2 linked regions of the Lonchura striata genome follow. Each later gene encodes a partner of the first gene's protein in a complex. Links are inferred from orthologs where the notes say so. Each region holds a gene or a part of one and is shown in the gene's direction. Other genes may lie near its edges.

The links. The genes of interacting proteins can lie anywhere in the genome.
Region 2: the proteins of MIDEAS (region 1) and DNTTIP1 are in contact, whole or in part, in a cryo-EM structure (PDB 6Z2J), measured with the Homo sapiens proteins. The link is inferred for Lonchura striata from reciprocal best matches to the Homo sapiens genes MIDEAS and DNTTIP1. Residues at the interface, in NP_001036783.1 of Homo sapiens: Gln768, Asp771, Leu772, Thr774, Ala775, Ser778, Ser779, Ile802, Leu803, Leu806; in NP_443183.1 of Homo sapiens: Pro63, Ser66, Leu69, Leu70, Ala72, Val73, Leu74, Pro76, Ser77.

The regions. Positions count from the first base shown.
Region 1 is NC_134608.1:35,883,467-35,894,407, reverse strand, and holds the start of MIDEAS (mitotic deacetylase-associated SANT domain protein), read left to right. Parts: upstream 1-6,236; 5' UTR 6,237-6,457; intron 6,458-6,588; exon of another isoform or gene 6,589-6,868; intron 6,869-10,941.
Region 2 is NC_134619.1:8,171,819-8,182,480, forward strand, and holds the start of DNTTIP1 (deoxynucleotidyltransferase terminal-interacting protein 1), read left to right. Parts: upstream 1-6,295; 5' UTR 6,296-6,316; coding exon 6,317-6,403; intron 6,404-6,477; coding exon 6,478-6,548; intron 6,549-6,872; coding exon 6,873-6,969; intron 6,970-7,103; coding exon 7,104-7,202; intron 7,203-7,681; coding exon 7,682-7,750; intron 7,751-8,029; coding exon 8,030-8,086; intron 8,087-8,333; coding exon 8,334-8,395; intron 8,396-8,845; coding exon 8,846-8,891; intron 8,892-9,341; coding exon 9,342-9,400; intron 9,401-9,581; coding exon 9,582-9,642; intron 9,643-9,930; coding exon 9,931-10,002; intron 10,003-10,226; coding exon 10,227-10,282; intron 10,283-10,627; coding exon 10,628-10,662. UniProt on the Homo sapiens protein: Increases DNTT terminal deoxynucleotidyltransferase activity (in vitro). Also acts as a transcriptional regulator, binding to the consensus sequence 5'-GNTGCATG-3' following an AT-tract.

The DNA.
Region 1 (10,941 bases):
AGCATGCATTTGCAAGGGAGGAAAGATCCTCCTTATTGTGTAGAAGGGGAGGGTTCTGAGACAAAATGTCTGAGATGCATTGATAAAAAACTTCATTGCTTCCTGTTTGGATTGCTGCATTTCCTTCAGCTGGCAGTCCTGGGGCAGCCATGAAGATACATGTTCCTGTTGGCTAACAGAAAACATAAATAATGCTCAAATGCTCAGTGGACCATGTATATAATATAACCACATCTGTATTTGGGAAGCATTCCTGCCTTGGAATACCATATTCTATGTAGGGCTGTTGCCATGAAATTGTGGTTTATGCCCTATGTAGAAATGGAAAAAAATTGTTTTAGATTGTACTACAAGCCTTTTAAGATTCCCATTGACAAGAAAAAAAAGAAAAAACTGTAAATTTTGTATTAAAAAAGAATAAGGAGAGGAAAAAAGAACACACTCCATAATGAGAGAGGAAAAAAGAACAAACTCCATAATTGTACTAGTAAACATTAAGAGAGTAACTGAATTAATTTTCCTTACAATGGAATATGCAATGTACTTTATGCAAAAAATAAAGAATATTCAGAGATCACAGAGATAAACAGACCAACTGGCTGGGATCGGTCACAACTTGGTATTGGAAGGAATCATGGAGAACTGCCAAAATACAACTAGGTTCCAGGTATGGAAATCAGAATGATGCAACTTTCTTGTGAATTTGTGAAGAACAAAACTTCACAGCAATTCACCAAAAACTCTACAGTGTAATGGTGATGACAGGAGAAGCTGCAGCCTGACTTGCACCAATGCAAAGTGCCAGCACAGGCAAGCACGGAGTGACAGAGAAGCAGGATTAAGGAGTAGAGGGACAGATAAAGTCATCAAGGTGCATAATTATGTGCTTGCAGATTATCCTCTGTATTTGGTACCTGCCTATCACATATGTCTTATTTATACATGTTGGCATCTCCCACTGTGGTTTACATTCCCTTGCTATTCTGTAATTTATTTATGTGATGGAATAGGGATGAATCCTCATGAGAGAGTACCATGGGCTGCCAACAGAACATGGTGTTAGCAAATGCTCACTTTCTGATTCCCCTGATGCCCCTAGATTTATGCAGCATATGTTTCAATGTAATTGCAATGGTTCTAAGTCCTTGTCACTAAAACCTGTTTGGGCTGGAAGTTTCTTGAATGACTGTAAGGGTCAAATGATCTAAAATGGGCTTTGAGATTGCTGCTGGTAATACATGAGCTACTGAAGATCAGAAGAATTTCCTAGTTGACGTTCTCTATAAGAGATGACTTTAAGGATGTTCTTCTATATATGCACATACATACATAGATATATATCTTGCATAAGACATATAAATAATAAATAACACAAATATTACAGAATCCTACAAAGATTCCAGAATCCTGCAAATACACCATGTGCCATTAGTTATTACCAATTACTTGAGTCAGTGGGACAGATCTTATTTTTATATTATTAAACAGCCTATTGATCTAATTAAATACCTTCTGCATGGTTCAATAAAAAATTGGTCTACTTAGAGTATTAAAGAAACAACCTAGATTATTCTCTGTAATACTAATTCCTAGTAAATAACATCAATGTTATACAAAGAGAGAAAAAATATCATAGCATATTGTTTCAAATTCTTGATCTTGTTGAGAGCTACTAGACCATGGACTTTTCCCAAGATAGTAGCATTATTATATATATTATCTAAATTATGATGATAAATAATTAAATAGAGCTAAAGAATTTATGGTGCTTTATATTTTCAGAGTTCTAATATACATATATTCATCAGTTCATTTTCTAATTTTCCTCTCACACAGTATGTAAGAAAATATAATCAATAAATATTTAAGAAAAAAAACCAGAAACAATTTACAGGCAGTTTCTTATTTTTTTAACTTTTTTGTTGTTTTTACATTTTTTTAATATCATCCTCCTTAAGGTAATTTGAACCTAATTTTCAGAAGGACTTGTATCATTAATCAGTCAACTGAGCAGCCAGAAGAATTTGGTATCCTACTATTGTACGTGTAGATTTGTGACACTTTGGTGATGGGGCATGTTGGAGTTTAGTACAATCTGCATACTGAACTCCTAAAATGCAGGATAAGTATAGTGTGACAGAAGGGTTTTTATGTGGATTTGAGCATTGGGAGCTAACCAAACTGAGCTATTCAAAATCCATGTGGCCTTCAGCTCACCACTTAGCTTGTTCAAATACTGTATTTTTCTCTATTTTAGTGAACAATGTTACCACAGACTGTTGTTTGTAAAACAAACAAACAAATAATGTGGCATTCTGGGAAAAGTGATAGTAACTGCAGAAAGATTACAAAGTCTTTTAAAAACTATACAAGCTAGCAAAATTAGGAAGAAAGCATCAACAGTTCTGGTTTTCAGCATGCCACATAATTTGTTACTTCATAGATTCCCGCACTGTCATTCCCACCACAGCATCTGAGCTTCTTTCAGTAGTGTTTAAGCAATGTGAATAACTTTGTTTCACATGTGGTTTCTTTTCTAAACCACAGTGATCCTCCCTTTCCCTCATGTAACAAGGTTTCCTCCTGGTTCTCAGGGAGCCAGGTCATGACACTCTGTGTGTGTGTACATATGTATTTACACATGCATGCTCTATAAATACATGTAGTTTCTCCCCAGGCTGATCAAAGAAACTGAATCTTGCTCAAATCTAGCTTGAGTGAAGTGTTTTAATTTTAAAGTCAGATAAGAAGAGTAAAATACAGGTACAAAGGTTTTTGTTTTTTTTCCTTTTTGAAAACACTTTTAAATAGGCCAAACCCCTTCTTTCCAAACATTGTATATGTCTGCATCAAGTTTCCCAAGAGAAGTTGTACCCAAGCATAATATTTCAAATATAGTAACTTGAGTGATTAATTCTGACAAAGATGGGAAACAGACATTGGTATTGGAGAAACTAAAATTTCCCTGTAGTATAAAGTAATTGGTCTTGTATAAAAACCATTTTTATGAACATTTTCTCCTGTAATAGTGCTGGGAAATGGTGACTATGAAGGAATGGCTTTTTTTGAACTTTCACTGCTGTGCACTGGCAGGTGAGTCTTGGCAAAGTGCAGGGCTTTGCATTAGTCTGTGTTGAACTTCACCTCCATTCGCTGGCTTGTCTAGAAGCAGCCCTGCCTCTGAACATTGAATATATTTATGGGATAAACATTGCAGCTATTAATTACTAGTTTATGCTGACATTAATATTTTTCAATAAAAATCACATCCTATTGAAATTTTAGAGGAAATTTCGGTGTGATTATGAGGTGGAAGTTTAGGCTTATTAGAATCTGAAACTCCTATTACAAAGGGTGTAAATGCTTTTTTATTGGCTATAGTGGTTAAGACCTTCATTTTATACCTAATTTCAGGGAGAACTAATGGCTCCATAATGTCTCCCATCATACCGGAGCACAAGTTCAGCTCTTGAGAATTACAAAGAGGGCGGGACCTTGGCTCTGCTCTGGCACGGTGAAAAGAGTGCCACCTACTGAGCCTGTGGCTCGATTTTGCAAACTTAAATATGCAGAGCATAGTCTTTAATCCAAATTCTGACTCAGTGCAACCCAGTGTATTAATGATATGAGTCGATGTTGTTACACTACAAGATGTGTCTGTACAAGCCAAAGAAAATGAAGATTTTATATGCTGATAGCTAGGAGATCTTCCAATCTCCTTCAGTGTAGTAACAAAATAATGACATAACAGGGAATGCGTGTGCATTAAGTTTTGTCGTTGTAAAGCTGATAGAGGTGCAGCCATCGTGTAGTCTCAGCATATGCTGAGAATAGGAGAAAGAAAAACTTTTAAAAAGCATAGCAAAAGCTGTTACTGAAAAGAAGAAAATTATGATGGCTGGTTCTGGAGAAGATGTAAGGACCATGTAATGTGAGGAATGGAGAAACAATTTAAGAGTGTATAACTGTAAAATCCTTACAAAACACTTCATAAAACTTTTATTGCTTGGTAAGGTAAACACTAACATACAGCTCTATAAACTTCATGATGCCTTTGAAGTCTTTCTTCTATTTTAGATCCATAAACTAGTTGGTGTACCTACCTGCTTGCTTGTTTTTGTTCTCATCCCATTTGGTATGTTTAGGAAATACAGTCATTCTTTCCTATAGATTTTGCATCTTACAGTGTGTTTCAGCTTTGTCCTTATGGTTACTATGTTGTATTTGGCTCAGCATTCCTATCTGCATGATACATTATTTAGGAGGGAAATATCAAACCCAACAAGTTAAAATATCTCCTAGAGAAGGGTAGAAAGCACACTCCCTACTCTGTGCAATGTTAGCTTCTGTAGCCGGATGATGACGTTTCTGCCATTGTCTGCTGCTTTTATGTGATTAAGTATTGTGAAACGCAAGATGCTGCTCATCATTTTACTCCCAGCCTCCAAACAGGTGAAGTAGAACATGCATTTGTTCTGTCTGGAACAAAGAGATACACTTTACTGTTAGGACATGATTTAAAATCCCAGAAGACTGGTGGGATTCAGGTTTATTTTTGCTTAGGTTTGTTCTTCCCCCAATGAAAGCTGACATAAGTAATTTCAATCTCAGTATCTGATGTGCTTCATGGGAGGTACCGATTGCCTAACATAACAGAGAGGAAATAACTCCAGTTTATTGAATCTCTCTTTTCAATCTTTATTAGGGCAAATTAAATTAATGAGTTGTATGCCTTTGACTACAGATATTTATTATATGTTCAATAATTTGTTTGCTTTACATATTAGGTAATTTGTGAACATCTGGGAATATTCTTTCTATATTGATTTAAATAGCTGCATTATATTTAAATAGCATTATATTTAAATATAATGAATTTGGAAGACCAAATGGTGCTATAGCAGAGTTTTCCTGAAGGTCCTATTGAGACAGTGTTGCATCAAACGATACCTCTGGTTGTGAAAGAAAAAAAAACCTTTACCAGTAGTACCTGTGGCTACTATTTTGCTCTTTACCACACCATATGTCTCACTGTTATCCTCTGCACCATGACAGGAAAAGATTGGGTGTGGTAATTAGACTGCTGACCTGGGACTCATCAGAGTAACCTGGTTATGCATCTGTAGTCATAGGCAAGTCACTTTTCTGGGCTCCTGTTTCTACATATCTTGAGCTTCCCTGGTAAAAAGTTCTGCAAGGAGCTATTGTGAAAGAAACATGAACTACAGTGAGCAGTACAAAAATTACTTCTATAATTCACTCTATAAGGCAATACATGCTGGAAGGGAAACTACCCTGCTGCTCTGGAAAAAAATCCCAAAATCCAGCAATGCTGCTGGATTCAGTGTGCACTGAATGATCTGAGCCTGGATGGAAGGTAAGCACGTGGCAACGTGCACACTGGAGAAAAATGTTTGGCATTTTCATGTTGTTCGATGTTTCCCTGAATATGAGTCTAATCTGTGAATGCTGTCTAAAGGTTATTTTATAATCTAAAAGTTTCACTGATTGTAACAAACTCGAGTAGCAGAGCAGTCTACAGAGGGAGCAATGACAAAGCAACTTCTTTATTTCCTGCCTTAGTAGAGTAGAGTAGCATACCTACATTTGTCAGCACACTGTGTTTTTTATTCTCGGACCAAGGCAGCAGAGGAAGACATATTCCAGAAGAGGAGCTGGACATTTTTTAGAAGCCTCAGAAGTATGAATTATTGTGAAAGTAAATTTCAGGTGTTGGTAAAACAGCCAACAATATAGACACGACCTGAGGATTTGCATTAGACTAACATCCTTTCTCCCTTCCCTTTTTTTTTTTTTTTTTCACTTTTTCTTCTGAAAAAGTGAAGAGAAAAGGGACCAAAAGGCGGAAACAGAAATGCATGTTTTCCTTTGGTACGGGTTTCCTTAAACCCCAAAAGTTCTTTGTTTTTCTTTAGAGAGAAAGGACACGAAGCCTTGTCTTGCTGAAGAGCCTGGCTCTGAACTCGGGGCATCAAAGCGGCGCTTTCCGCCGGGTACCGGACACGGCAATATTTTGCAGGGCTTGGCTTGGCTTTCAAATCAATGCTGCAAACTCTCTGCCCGCCCCTCACTCGTTGGGGATTTCCTCTCCTTCGTTGCCAACAGCAGCGACAGCCAAGCGCAGAAGGTCAAGCCGAGCCCTGCGGACAAGGGCAGGGGGCCCGGGCCCGTGCCGGGATGAGGCGCTGAGGGCCGGCGGGAAGCTGCGCCGCGGAGGGAGGAGGAGGAGGAAGGCGGGAGGAGGAGTTGAGGAGCCCGGGCCCGGGAGCCTCCCCGCTTACTGCACTAGGAAGTGACGCTTTCGCTGAGTCCCGGAGAGAAAGAAACAAAGTTTGTTTTTTTTTTTTTTTTTCTCTCCTCCTTCTTCCCTCCCGCCCCCCTCTGCAAACAGCCGCTCCACGTTCCCCTGCGGCGCCCTCCGTGCCTGGCTGCGCAGGTGAGCCAGCCCGTTCTCTTTCTTCCTTATCTTGTTTTCCGCGCGGTTATTATTTTTTTTTAATTTGCACGATTTGCTTCCGTTTTCCTGCCATTTTGGAGAGGGGGTGTCTTTCCTGGGGCTTTTTTTTTTTTTTGTGGGTGGTGGTGCGTGCTTTGTTTGTGGGTGCTGGGTGCAGGATGAGGAGCAGAAGTACCTGTGGAGGTGACGAGGGCGGCTGGCTCCGCGCCCGGGCCGCGCAGCCCCACGGGGCCGGGGCAGCAGCGCTCCCGGCCCGCCTGCTGCGGGGGACCAGGCTCGGCTGCTGAGCCATCGCCTCCTGCCGTACCCGGAGTTGTTACAAGCGCTCCGGAGGGGTTTCTTCGCGGCTGCCAGGCTGCTGCACCGTTTTCAGGATGTGTCCGTGTCCGGGTGAGCTGCCTGCGGATGGAATTTTGGGGGGTTGGTTTGGGGCAGGGGGAGGTTCTCTTTGCTCGCGGCGTGGCGGAGCCGGGGCAGCTCGGCGTGTGCGGGGCCCCCGGTGCTGCGCGGGAGCCGCCGAGTCCCGGCAGCCGCTGAGCGCGCATCGTGGCGAGGGTCGGATCGCTCTGCTGGGGTTTACGCAGTGGAGGGGGGTGGGGAGGAATTTGTTAGATAATTTTTGAAAAATCCCGTGCTCTCAAGTGTACAGATATTTTCTGGCAGCAACTGCAAAAGACCGATTCGTTGCAGTTTAGCAGTAAAAGCTGACAATACACCTACGCGCGTATGTGAGAGTCTTATATAATACTTACGGGTTTTTTTTTTTTAACAGGCGTAAGCAGGATTTATTTTTGGTTTGTAAAGTCTTGTGTGATTGCAGCTTGCAGAATTAGCGAAATATTCGATTTGCTCAACAGAGATTTACTGTACATTCTTTTAGAAACATCTAATTTTTTAATAATAACTTGATTTCATTCCGACTACGTGTTTTGAGCTTAGTGTAAAGGCCATCTATACTGGAGCAAGCAGTTCAGGGAGGGGAAGAGAGAAAAAGAAATGTCCTAATGCAGAGACTATTAGGTTGTTTAGAGGGCGAGACTGCAGTTCCAAGCAGCAACAGCAGCAGCTTTATGACTGTGTGTAATTACAGAGTGATTGCATAGAACAGCATTGTTGGAACGAATACGTATACACAGGCTATTGTGCAAGATTTCTGTACCGAACAAAACCTAGTTTTGCATTGCAAATGCTAAAAAGAGAATGTGTTCTGCAGTGGACTGCCACGTTCCTCTTTGACTCCTTCATAGACTTGGAAGAGGAAGATAGGAGAAGTGGAGTGAGGCTGATCGTAGAAATCACAGATCTGAAATACTCAGCAGTAACGCCACTAGTAGTTTCTGAAATCACAGCAAACAGAAATTGAAAGCTCATTGAATCTGCGGGATCATGTTTCTAAAGTGATTTTATACAAGGTGAAATCTAAGCAGGTTTGCTACAGTCCTGCACATTTAGCATAATTCTTGATCTGTTCTAATTTTTTGTGTGCTTGTGTGGGAAAAAGACCTATGTTAAAATAAGCAACTGCAGTTTAACTAGCTAGCTTGGCAGTGGAGAGAAGGGCACTGGGGAGAGTTTCTGTGTCAGGCCACAAAACTGAGAGCCTGAAAGAACTACCAGACCAGAGATTTGCTCAGAGCATGCTTTTTCAATGTTAATTCAAAAGTTGCATCTGGTTCAGCGATCTTTTAGGCAGTGTTGGCTGAGGGATAGTATGAGACACTGAGAAAGTGTGCCACTGACACTGTATTAGCAAGGCTTTTAACTAAGACTTTAAAGAACATCATAATTATGGTAAAGTTCTTGTGGATACAACTTAAGGTCTCTAAGATTTCTTTTTCAGCAATGCTGGTCACCTGTTATTTTTATCAGCTGAGTTTTGAGAGTACTTGGAATGAATGGCATATCAGATCTGAAAGATTTCAGCTCTGGTGCTCAGAGACTGGCCTTTCTAACATTAGAGACAATTTTCTAGAAGTGTTATCTTCAGCTATTATAGCTGATGTCTTAATAAATGCTACAAAGGCTTGTAAAGTATTTTGAGCACTGCAATGAAAAGTACAATAAAAATGGAAAGCTGCTTTTAAATTTCTTGGTGCTCCACTACAAAATATTTTAGCTGAAGGCACAGATCATATTATTGGTAGTTTCCTCAGGTTGTCAAAAAAATGTTTCATGTAAAACACATGTGGCTTTGCTAATGAAGAATGAAGGGATCTGCTGATGGTGTTTTTTGTGTTCTGTTTATTGGGGGTTTTAATGTCATTTGACAAACAATCTTAGTGATCCTTCTGTAAGTTTATTGGAGCATTTTGCTTTAATAGAACATATGAAATAAATATGTTAATACATGCATTACTGTGATGTTCTACTTGTGGATTTTGCTTGAAATTGTACTTCATGTCTTGACTAACTTGACAATCTATGTTATATTGGATGTTCTAATGTCAGAATTACCTCTGGAGTAGTTCTTAAAGATTTATTGAATAATTTGTGGTAGTGATTCAATATAGTCATTCCTTATGCTAAGTCTTTTGGTTTTCACAACCTATGTGGTAGGAGAGAGTTTTTGGCCAGGATTCTTTGGACTTGTATACAAAGGAGTAGGTAACTTGCACGTCCTTGAGTTGTCCTGTGGTTCTCAGTGGACTTAGTCATAGATATATATACATTTGTGTGCATGCTTGCAAAACAAAGGTGTAGCTGTGCTAGCCTTTAACCCATCCAGGTGCATGCGAGTAGTGATGATATGAAATTATGAGAGCTGTAGCACAATGCAGGCTTTTCAAAAGCCTGCATAAATGCTCCAAATGTTAGTTTACATTTTTGCATTTTCACTCTTATGGTCACCTGTCAGTGGTGGCTGCAGAACCATGGGAGATATTTTCAAGCCCATCATCCCTATCAATGATACTCTTCTGTCAAGCTGCTAATCAAGCCCTTAAGTTGCCCCTGACTTGAGGACACACAGCCTTTCTTTGGAAATGGCCACCTTGGTGGTGTGTGTGTGGAGGTGTGCCCAGGCACGTAAGGAGACAAGAGGGACTGCCATGAATCAGAGTGAAAATCTGTCTAGCCTGTGGCCCTGTTTGCAAAGGTGTGTATATTTTCTATATGCTTAGCAGTTCTTGAAGGATTTCTACTCAAGAAACTTACATAGTTTTCTGTTGAGTTTAGGTAAACATTTAGCAAACACCTTTTTTTAACCTACTGATCAAATTGTGCAATAAGAATGTTCGTAAAAACTGCTTTTTTTTTTCTGTTGTTTCACTTTTTATAAACACTCCCCCCATAATAAAAAATAAAACACCCAAAGTACCAAAACTCTGAGATTTTTTGTTTGATTGTTTTTGTGTGTGGATTTTTGTATTGTTTGGTTTTGTTTTGTTTTTTTTGGTCTGGAGGATTGCATAATATCTTAGTACTGTTTGCAGTAAATTAAAGTTTATGCTAAAATGAAATATAGTAAATATGAATATTGTCTCCAGTGCAATTAGTTACAGTCTAAGAGACATGAAGTGAGACGTAAACCACGTTTTGTGAAATGGGGAGGTGAGGAAGGCAGGAGCTCTGGTGGTGAGGTTTTGCAATACATGCTCAAAAAGCTGCAGGTTCTGGCACGAGCAAACCAAGGCTCATGAGTCACATCCAAAGGGAAGACTCGTCACTGAGCAATTTGTAAATAGGAGGGATGAGCTGCTAATTCAGGGAAATATCCTGAGGACCTTCCCTAATAATTGCAAGTGTGGCAGAGAGAGCTTTATGTCAGGCGGGAGTTGCTTGTACTTTGAATCACAAGTTCCCCCGGTGTGATTTGAGCCTTCAAACTAAGAAATCCTTGTTATGCGTTGCACATGTCCCTGAAAGAGGTGGCTGGTCAAGCAGTAATGTAAGTTTTTGTAGCTGCATAGCAGCCACTTGCATTCTGTGTGGCAGCTCCAGCAGCTCGCAGTGGACAAGTGGCAGGTGCCTGCAGCAGGAGGCTGCTCAAGGAGCACTTCACAACACTTTGCACAGCTTCTTTTTCTGAGCGGTCTCCAAATGTAGCCCTTAGTGCTCTGCTGATCGACTCCAGTGACTGAAAAAGTTATGAAGGAAAGCTCTACTTTGCACACCGGGGAAAAAGTGTGAACGCATGCATTTTGAATGCAGCCCGAGTACTTAGGAGCAATCATTCGAATGTAGATGCAGAGATAATCTTGGTAATTAATTCTTTGCTTTTCAGGCTCTCTTGATGCTTTTTATTGTATATTGTGCAACTGACAGCCACCAGATAACAAGTCTTAAATTAATATAATTTATTAATCTGTAATATGATGTACAGCTATTCATTGAAATGTACATACCCCAAAATTAATGTTCTTTCTATGTACAAGTAAATTGCATGAATGCCCCTTGTTGAATTGATGGCTGGTGTTAATCAAGAAGTTGAAAACTGGGAAAAACTAGATTGGGAGGGTGTGGCA
Region 2 (10,662 bases), on another chromosome or scaffold:
TTCTGTGCAGACATCTAATATCTTACAAAAAACTCCTTTGCTCTTTTCATCTTTTATACAGTCCCTGGCCACCTTTAGCTTTTCTTCCATAGCTTTTCAATCCTGCCAGTTTTCATCATGTGGAGCACAAATTTGAAAGAAAATAATTTGAGCATATTGCTCTGCATCTCCGCTCAGCCTTGGCATGTTAGTAGCCCACAACACTAAATCTCCTGTATCCAGGGCCAATGGATATAAGTTAAAACAATTGTTGCCTGCCCATTGATAATAGTACTCATATAATTTGTCCAGACTGGATTGGGGCAGTTGCAGGTGAAGTAGCAGAGAGCATAGAAAGCAAAGCAACAGGAATAGACAATGGAAAATCTTTTTCAGTTGGCACACAGGGAGGAGCAGAGTCTGGGCTAGAATTTACCTCAGGATATCATATATCAACCCCACTCCCGAGATGCTGCTTTTCCCAAGCTCAGTTATCCCATACACATCAACAGTCCATCTGCCCTGTGTACTGGTTCTGTAATCTATGTTGAAGGCAAATCAAAACAGACTCCTTGAAACCCCCTGTGTGGCCACACTTCTGCAGGTTTTGCCCCACATGTCAAGTAATATATGGCCCCTCCTCCTGGCATAACATCACTGTGAGTTTTAGAGATCATTTAATGGTGCCAACTATCTTCTCCCAGTTCTGCCGTGCCTCGGCTAAGTCATCCTCTTCTTTATGCCAGGTACATTGCTCATGCTTCCCAAAACCCACAAAACCCAAACTTGTAGAAGGCAGGACTTGAATCTCCTTTAGAGATCTGACACTCACTACTTAGTCCTTCCTTACACCAGAGCTCCTGGGTGAAACATCTGCTGCTGCAAATTTGGATATCTGGTGCTTGGAAGAAAACAGGCAAGTGAACAAGTGCCTCACTTGGGTTGCCGAGCTGTTAAAGAAATTTTTGACACTAAGCTCTCATGTTCACTAGATATATTTATTGGCACAGGTCAAGCATGAAATCTGGTAGCCTGAGCTGGATGCCACATAAGAGGAACCCAAAAATCTCTGAAAATCCCAGGGCAATTACACCCTTACAATCTAAAATCTCCACCCCCCATAGTCATCACCATTTTCATTGCTATTGGAGTAATCATATTCATTGTCATTGGAGTCACCATCTTCACTGCTATTGGAACTGTCACTGTCGATGTCATCATCACCATCTTCATAGCTATTGGAATTATCATCACTGATGCCTTCATTACCATCTTCATAGCTATTGGAATTTTCATCACTGATGAAATCACCACCATCATCATTGCCATCATCACCATCGTCACTGTCATCATCACCATCGTCACTGTCATCATCACCATCGTCACTGTCGTTGTCCTTGCCATCAGAAAGGTCATTTTTAACACCATCATCACCATCTTCATTGCTACTGGAATTGTCACCGTTGACACCATCATCACCATCACCACTGTCATTGTCACCATTACCATTGTCATTTTCCTTGCCATCATTTTTATCACCATCTTCCTTGCTGTTAGAATGGTCACTCTTGACACCATCATCACCAACATCACTGTGGTTGTCACCATGATTATGATCATTGCAATCACAAAGTTGACTTCTATTACCATCATCACCATCATGGTCATTGGCATTGTGGCCATCATCACCAGTTTCACTGCTATTGGACTCACCACTTTTATGGCTATTGGAATCACCCATTTCATTTCTATTGGAGCTGTTGTTGTCATTGTCACCATCACCACCATTGCTGTCAGGCACTGTGCTGGGCTTTTCCCCAGGCTCAAGGCTCAGGGTTCTTCCCAGCTGTCCTGGTGGTGGCCACCCAGCTGGAGCTACTCCATGGAACTCTGCAGGAGAGCAGAAAGCAGCAGCATCAGCCCCAGCATGCTGTCCTTCCATCCACTGCTCCCACCCGGCAGCCCACTTAACCACGATGCTGTGCTGTCTTCTCCTCTGCTGCTTTTCCTGGGGGGCTTTCAGGGCTCTGCCTGACCCCTGCTGCCCTCAAGGCTGAGGCAACTCACCATGCTGCTGCCTCCCAGCTCATGGCAGTGTCATGGTGGGGCTGGTGCCTGAGGGGCTCTCCTGGGCACCTCTGCCCTGGGGCCAGCAGCCACATGGGCTCCAGGTACGCCGGGGAGTCGGGGAGAGGTGGCACTGTGCCACAGTTCATTGTGGCACTGGGCTCATCCCCCCAATTCACCCCACGGCTTCCCTGGCCCTCACAAGGCAGCAACCTGGCACCTGCCAGCACCTGCAAAACACCTGTGATTCTATGAAAATAAGGAAAAAACATTCTTAAATGTTCTTCCCACCCACCCATACTTGCCTGCAATGGGTGCTGCCTGCAGCTGTGCCCACAGGGAGAGGAGCCCCAGCAGGAGGATGCCTGGTGCCATGCTGATGAAGTCTGTGTCCAGGGCTGTGCCAACTGGCAATTTAAAGGGTCTAGCAGGGAGCCCGGGTCCAGGAATGGGAGGAGGCAGGCCACAGGTGACTTCGGGAACCTCCCACATTTGCCTTTAATTCTGTTTACCGAAGAGCCACTCCAGCTCCACCCACAGCCAAGGCAGGAGCAGGATCCAGACTTGGCTGCACTCCAAGGAGGACAGCACAAGGACTGAAGGATGGAAGGGAGATCCAGGACTGCACAGAGGCAGATTCTTTACTGCTGCTCTCAGCAGGAATGCCCATGATAACCTTTATCCACAGCAGTGACCCCAGTGCCGGGCTCTGCCCCAGTGCTGGACTCTGCTGCAGGCTGGAGCCTGTCCTGGCCCTGCCATCCTGGATGGAGCAGGATCAGGGCAACAACACCTGGCAGCAGCACCAGGAGCTCCCTTTTTCCACATGCAAAATGCCCTTCATTCAAGGCTCCTGTTTCACACGTGGAGATTCTTTGCAGATTTTTGTAGGTCAAGGATTCAAGGCTTCATTTGAACACTTGGCTCTGAACCATCCCGTTCTCAAGCAGAGGGCTCCAGCTCTTTCAGAGTTCCTACTGTCCGCTGCCAGGTTTAGGCACACAAATGAGCTCAAAGTTTCCCGAGCAAGTTCATGTTGGTCCCCATGGTCCTCCTGCTCTGTGGCCTCCCCAGGACCTTCCTTTTCACAGCATAGCCCATGCAGCTCAGCTCACTCTGGACAAAGTCAGAGCTCAGTATGTCTTTCCCCCAGACCAACCAGACTCCATTAACCAGGCCTCCATCAGCTTTTGGGAACTCCTGAACATGAATTGCAGGATTTAGTGTCCATGCATGAGAGCCCTATTAATTTACACACAACATTCAATAACCACATGAATTTGCAATGGGAGTGCACACTTACTGCATGTACAAACACCAGATTATTTACTGTCCAAGCGAACATCTGCTCCAATGAAATATTGCTGCACTAAAATAGACCTCTCTGGAGGAAAAGGTCTTGGGACTTCAAGCAAAAGAGCTCACCTGTGCTGAGGAGGGCACAGGAATCTGTCTGCAAACTGCCAGCCAAACTGCTGGCCTTCACCAGAAACTCACAGTCAGAGTAAATGAAAATTAGATGCACTGCCACACTGCCTTCCTTTCCTCTGCATATGATCTCAGGGTAAAGACATATTTAATATGTTTAAGGCAGCAGATTAAGCTTAACTAAGATCCAATTCTGTGAGTGCTAACCCATCTACACCAAGTTATTCTCCAGTCACCCAGGAGTGTGAGTTGGCATCTGATTTTCCAATTTTTTCCTTCTCTATTTAATTATTTCTTTCTGCATTACACACAAAGCAATGTGCAATGAATAGGGTAGGAGAAGTTAAGAACTGGTCTGCCCAGGACACATCAGCACCAAGCACAAATGGGTTGGAGTTTCTGGATAATAGATAAAGTTTAAATTTGCAACTGCGGGGTGAGTGAAATTAATGAGTTTGAGATTGATCTTATTGCTACAACTCTAAGCTGGCACTTGACAGGAGCACTGAAAAAGCAAAGTCGTGCTCAAAGAGCTTTCCATCAACATCTCATCAAGGCAATGCAGGGCCAGTGCAAAGGAAGGAGCACAGCTCCGCACAAGTCTCCACAAATCTGTGTGGGAAGAGGGATAATGGCAAGAAAAATGCTTTAAGTACAGGCTTATCCTTCTCCTCCTGCTGTGACTCAAGGTGGATGCAATTCCTCCACGAACCACCCATGTCCACCGGAGATCCGGTGCTCCACGCCTGGCAGCCCGGCCGAACCCGCCGGCCCGGTGCTTATCGCGGGTTTGGGGCTGTTAATCACCGAGCCGGGCACCCCGGGGCAGGCAGTGCTGGCCAGCCGGTGTCAGCAGCACCAACTCCCTTCCACGCACCTGGAGAACCAGCTGGAACAACCTGAGGGATGGCAAGGCTCCTTCCAACCTCAGGAGTGCCACGACGGAGAGCTCAGCACTGCTGCTGTCCCCGTGCTTGCCTGGTGGTTCCTGCTTTTGGGAACAACACCATAATTCTGGCACATTTCTGTTTTAGCAGACCATAATCCTGGATAACATTTAGGAATCAAATGGAGAAGAATGTCTGACAAGCAAATTGTTCTGATGAAATAAATGCTTGAGGATACTGAGGGTCAGAGATTTGTCCAAAGTCTCCCTGAGAATCAAGCAGGAACATGGGTAACCTCAGCTGTGAACCAGGTGTTCATGTTTGGCAGACATGCACCTACCACAGAGATCCATGGAAAAATTACCATTAAAAACCAGGATCTGGAGGAGACCCAAATAAGGCACCACATGAGTCAGATTTAGGTGATCCCTGACACACTCTTGAAAAGATATCTCTCTCTCTGCAAAAGTGTTTTCTCCATCATTGAGAATTTGTTCAGGATTTAAGTCTTCTTGTTAATTGGAAAGCTATTCCAAAGATCTGATGTCAGCCTCACTTAATTCAAATAAACACATAGGACATTTGTCCACCAAGGTGGACAAGATTAACAGTATCACTCTCCTCACCTTTCTCTGGGCATTCGTACAGACACAGTTAGTCTTCTTCTCCTCTGGACAATGTCCAGTTTTTATTGCTGACAACTTGAAGCAACCAAAATAAGCACACAAGCAGCCCAGTGCTGGTGATAATGAAGTTATGTCGATGTTGATGATGACTTGGTTGGCCCCACATCCACCACTGGGTTTGTCTAACAGCCCAAAGCTTACCCCGGGTGCAGCCCTGGCCAAAGCAGCAGGAAGGGGACAAAGGCAGGAGCTTCTTCCACCCTGTGAGCCCACGAGTCAGCAGCCTCTGCTCCCACAGCCACTCCAGGCTTCCATGGGAGCCCAGTGTGGTCACTGCAGAGCCAACAGCTACCGCAGGAGAGTCACACTGAGGGGACACAGCCACAGGCTGCAGTGACAGGTGCTGAGAAACACCAGCACAACATCCTCCAGAGGTACCAACACAGCCCCCACAGCATTAGTCACAGAACCACGGAATGGTTTAGGTTGGAAAAGACCTCTGAGATCATCAAATCCAACCTGTGACTGATCACCACCTTGTCGATTAGACCATGGCTCCAGGTGCCATGTGCACTCATCCCTTGAACACAAATGAAACACGACTGAGCATCTGGCAAAGCTGGTGGGAAGGAGATCCCACTTTGCCCCGCAGCACGGCTCAGGGCAGCCCCACTGGCACAGAGGACAGGGACAGCACTTGGAGATGGCTGCTGGAGCACACCCCTGCTCTGCACAGCGAATGCCCTGTGCTTGGCTTCTCCCACTGAATCATCTTGGAATGAGAGAGAATGTTACCGAAATAGTAAATGGCTTATCAGTGCAAATTGTTATCCAGCTGATTCAACAGAAAAGCTTCTCTTTGACCACAACATGGGGTGAGATTATCTAGAAAACGACAGAAAAGTTGTTTTGACTATTCTGCACACATCAGACAAGATGAGGAAATGCTGGTTTGGGGGTGTTTCCTCAGAAAAGCAACGAGATTCCAGAAAGAGGAATTACACGAGGAAACACGGAGATCACGAAAGACTGGCGTTCACACTCCAGCTGCAGGTACAGAATCCACGTGTGCCCAGCTCCCCCCGCGCCAGGTCCTGCTCTGGGTGGAACCGGGTGACTTCCAGGGACTGCGCCGCCCTGCCTCGCCCCGCGGCACCGGCGGGGACACCGGGCGGGCACGGTGCGAGCGCAGGGCTGCCGAGCCCGCACCGGGCGCGGCCCCGGCCCGGCCCCGCCGCCGCGGGACGCGTCACGTCCGTCGGGGCGCGATGATGCAGGAGCCGGGTCCCCGCGCATCCGGCCGCCGGCGGCGCGGCGCGGAGCGGGGCCATGGGCGCCGCCCGCGAGGCGGAGCAGCAGCCGGGGCCGCCGGGCGAGGAGGGCCCGGGCGATGTCGAGGAGCAGCTGGTCAGCACGGTGAGGAGGGAGCCGGGCCGGGCCGGGCGGGCAGCGGGCGCGGCGGGGCCGGGGCTGACGCGTGTGTCCCGCAGAGCCCCTGGAACATCATGATCAAGCACCGGCAGGTGCAGCGGCGCGGGCGGCGCTCACAGATGACCACCAGGTACCGCGGGGCCGGGATGGGCGGCCAGGGGACGCGGTGGATGGAGGAGAAGGGTGGGACTGCGGGGTCGGGATGGGCGGCCAGGGCACGAGGTGGATGGAGGAGAAGGATGGGACTGCGGGACCGCGATGGGCGGCCAGGGCACGAGGTGGATGGAGGAGAAGGATGGGACTGCGGGACCGCGATGGGCGGCCAGGGGATGAGGTGGATGGAGGAGAAGGATGGGACTGCAGGGTCGGGAGGAGCGCCGGGCGCAGGGAGGATCGGGTTAGAGAGGCCGGGGCAGGGGGCTCCGCGCCCCCCTCCTGACCTCTCCTCCTGCAGCTTCACGGACCCCAGCGTGTCCATGGACCTGCTGCGGGCTGTGCTGCAGCCCAGCATCAACGAGGAGATCCAGGGCATCTTCAACAAGTACATGAAGGTGAGCGCTGGGGGCGGGTGGGCAGCAGCAGGTGCGTGGGGACAGCTCGGTGCCACCGAGGCTATCGCGCCTGTCTGCAGGAGCCGAGCTGACACTGCGCAGGCTGTCACCCTCTCCTGCCTTCTCCTCTTCAGTTTTTCCAGACAGCAGCAATCAACGTGCGTGATAACGTTGGGGAGGAGGTGGACCCAGAGCAGCTCATCCAGGAGACCTGTAGGAGCTGCCTGGAGCAGGTGGGTGCTGGGGAGGTGTCTCTTGAGTGTGCAGCCAAGCAAAGCAACCTGGCTAGAATGTGTCCCTCTTTACAGCTTTGCTGTCACTGTGAGGGGACATCCGCAGCCATTGTGTGACTCTCTCTGGGAATAAGGGAGCAGTCAGGGCTGGGCAGCTCATGCTGCTTCTTCTCACTGCTGCTGTAAGGAACATGGCACACTGCTGGAGTCCCACAGAAACTGGCCCCCAGCACCCGTCAGAAGGTCCTAGCAGGGTGGGCCAGGATTTTTCCTTTCATGTCTTGCTTATCTGCCAGTTTGCCAGAATTTATCATGCTCAAATTGTGCTTTTGCATCTGGCTGTCTGTGGAAGCGTGGCCTGGTAGCACTCCAAAAGCAAAGCTGTTGCAGGGTTTTTAGGCAGATATGTAGAGGTGGGGGTTGTTTATGGGGCCTTCTCTGAGCCCAGAATCCAGGGAACCTTCTTTGTCTCCCTTTAGGCCAAACTGCTGTTCTCAGATGGCAAAAAGGTGGTTCCCAGGTTGCCCCATGAGCAGGCAGTGCCAAAGGTAATTGTGGTGATTGTACACAGAGGTTTAAATGACTTCTGAAAGCTGGGAGAAGAGTTGGGATTACTTTGTTCTCTGACTCTTCTTGGCTGCCAGTGCAGTAGTGCAGAGACAGAGTGGGGGATGTTTGGCTTGAAGGGAATGCAGGGCAAAGAGAATCCCAGGTGTGGGTGCTGCTTGCTGCAGTTCAGTGCTACTCACAGGGGTGGTCTGGGGTCAGTGTTCACCTGGCCAGGTAGGGAGAGGAGCCCTGCTCATCCCACTGCCCTTCCCTTCCAGCGTGCCCGACAGATGGATGAAGAGCTGAGCCGCCGAGGAAGCCCCATTCCAAAAAAGGTAGGATGGTTTTCTTCACAAGAGAGTTTATGTTTTGGGAAGCCTGGCCCTCATTCCTGGCCATTCCCACAGTGTGAGTGCAGGGAGGTGCACGGGCAGCTTTTTTGAGGCGTTGGAGGTGCTCACTCTGGCGCAGGCAGTGTTTTTGCCTGTGACAAAAGAAGCAGCTTCCCTGGGAGAGGGAGGGTTGCTGAGAGGGTTCCCTCAGGCAGCACAGCTGGGTCACAGAAGGGTTTCTTCCATGCAGAGGAAGGGGCGGCCTCCAGGACAGAGCCTGTCAAATGACCGTGGAGTCTCAGGCATGGCAACGTGAGTACAAACCCTGAGCTAGAGCCCCTGTTTCGGGAGGGCAGGGACAATGAGGCTGCGTGTGGGGAGCACAGAAACCCCACAGACTCCTCTCTTACAGAGAAGTAATGGGAGCTCTTCTGGGTATGGGCAGAAGCAGGGTTAGGTTGAGGTGTTCCCCTCAGGAGGCAAAGACCTTAAAGGGAGGGATTTTTAAACAGGCCCAAAGGGGTGAAAAGGTCCAGATGGACCATCCAGAATGAGTGGTGAGACACAGGGGATGGTGGGATCTGGGCAACCAGGAGAGGAGAATGTGCAGCAAAGTTGAAGGTCCAAAGCCGGGCGCTGTGGGGAAATGGAGGGTGTGAAAAAATGGTGGATTTGGAAGGGTTTGAGCTCAGTCCCTGCTGCTGGTGGTGACTAAGCTGATCCCACTGGGACTCATTCTTACTGTGTTTTCCTTCCCCTCAGGTGGAAGCTCAAAGTCTCTGAGCCTGTGAAAAGGGATGGACCAAAGGTATTAGCTGTCCGACACTGCTGGGCTCCCTCTCTCCTCCCCTTTGCTCCCACCAGCAGGAGCGCAGGACAGCGCGGGCTGTGCCCTGCCCTGCTGGGGCCTTGGGCAGGGCGGGAGCAAGAAGAGGAAGCGAAGTGCCCGGAGGCCTTTGCTGGTCTCCCCAGGCACCCAGCCTGTAGCCCTGCAGTGTGGTGCCGCTGAGGGAGGCCTGAGGAGACCGGGAGTAGCCAGGAGAATCCCACAAGTGTTTCCCACGAGGGAAACTGCTTAGATCAGCCCAGACGGAATGTAACATCCCTCCCCTGAGGAAGGCTGGAGGTCATTGGCCAGCTCCCTCCCTCCCAGTCTGGAGGCAGCTCCAAGGTTCCCTTGTCAAAGAGCCGAGGCTTGTGGAGCATGGCCAGCAGCAACTTCATTTCTAATGTTGCCCCTTTTCCAATTGCTCTGTAGTGGGATCCATCCCGACTGACTGAAACCACAACCTTTGTGCTGGGATCTCGAGCAAACAAGTAAGGAACGGCCCTGTCGATGGAGGGTGGTGTCCCCAGGCAGGAGCCCGTGACACTCCTCCCGTCACTTCGCTTCTCTGCCTCAAAAGCAGTAGGAAGGGCTTGGGGAGGAGAGGGGTGTCCCTGTGCTACCACAGCTGCCCTCCCCACAGCCCTAACACCCCTCATGTTCCTATTGCAGAGCTCTCGGGATGGGAGGAACAAGAGGGCGACTCTACATCAAGCATCCCCACCTCTTTAAGGTCAGGTGCCACAGCCAGATGGTTTCCCATGGGAATTAGGAATGTATGTTTCAGCTCCCTTGCTTACTGCCTCCCCCATGTCCTTGTATGTTGTCTTAGATCGTGTTCCCAAGGTTTGGATAGCACATAACACTAGCCAGTGGTGTCGCAGCCTGCCAAGGCAGCAGGGGTGGCAGAGCCAGGGCTGAGGCTGGAGCAGGGCAGGCGGAGCGGGGGCAGAGCAGAGCGGGGCTTTCAGGGGAGGGTCTGTCGCCCGTTCTCAGCTCGGTCCTTGCTGCTTTATTGCAGTACGCAGCCGACCCGCAGGATAAGCACTGGCTGACAGAGCAGCAGCACATGAGGGCCATTGGGGGCAAGATGGTGAGTACGGCCGGGCGCAGGGCCCGCCGCGGGGCCAGGCGGCGGTGGCAGGATAGGCAGGGCACGGGGACACGGCGCTGCCAAGGTCTGTCCCCTCCCACAGGACTGGGGCATGGGCCAGGAGGCACGGCTGGCTCCCACGGGGACAGTGGTGGCTGAGGGTGTGGGCCTGCCCTGGCTGCCCCTCGCAGGCACCCTGAGGTGTCCCCTGCCTTGTGCCACAGGCCTACCTCCTCATTGAAGAGGACATTCGGGATTTGGCCGCCAGTGAGGATTACAGGTGAGGACCGAAGCAGAAATTCTGAAAGTGCTGTTGGGCCTGAGGCTGCTTCTTGGGGGGCCCCCACCATGTCCTGCCTCAGTGCTACATTGCAGAGACGTCCCGTGCTGGAGGGGCTCTCTGCATGGTGGCTGGGGGCTTGGTTATGGTTGGGGATTGGTGCCCATGGGGCAACTGAGGTTTGGACTTGGTGTTGGTTGGGGATCCATGGTAGGTTTGGGCTCAGTGCTGATTGAGATTCATGGTGGGTTTGGTGGGTCTGGGCCTGGTACTGATGTGTGCCAGGGGACATGGTGGGTCGGCAGTGGGTGCTGTGTCCCTCCATGTCACCCTGTTCCTCCGCAGGGACTCTGTTGATCTGCGGCTGGAAGAGCTGAAGC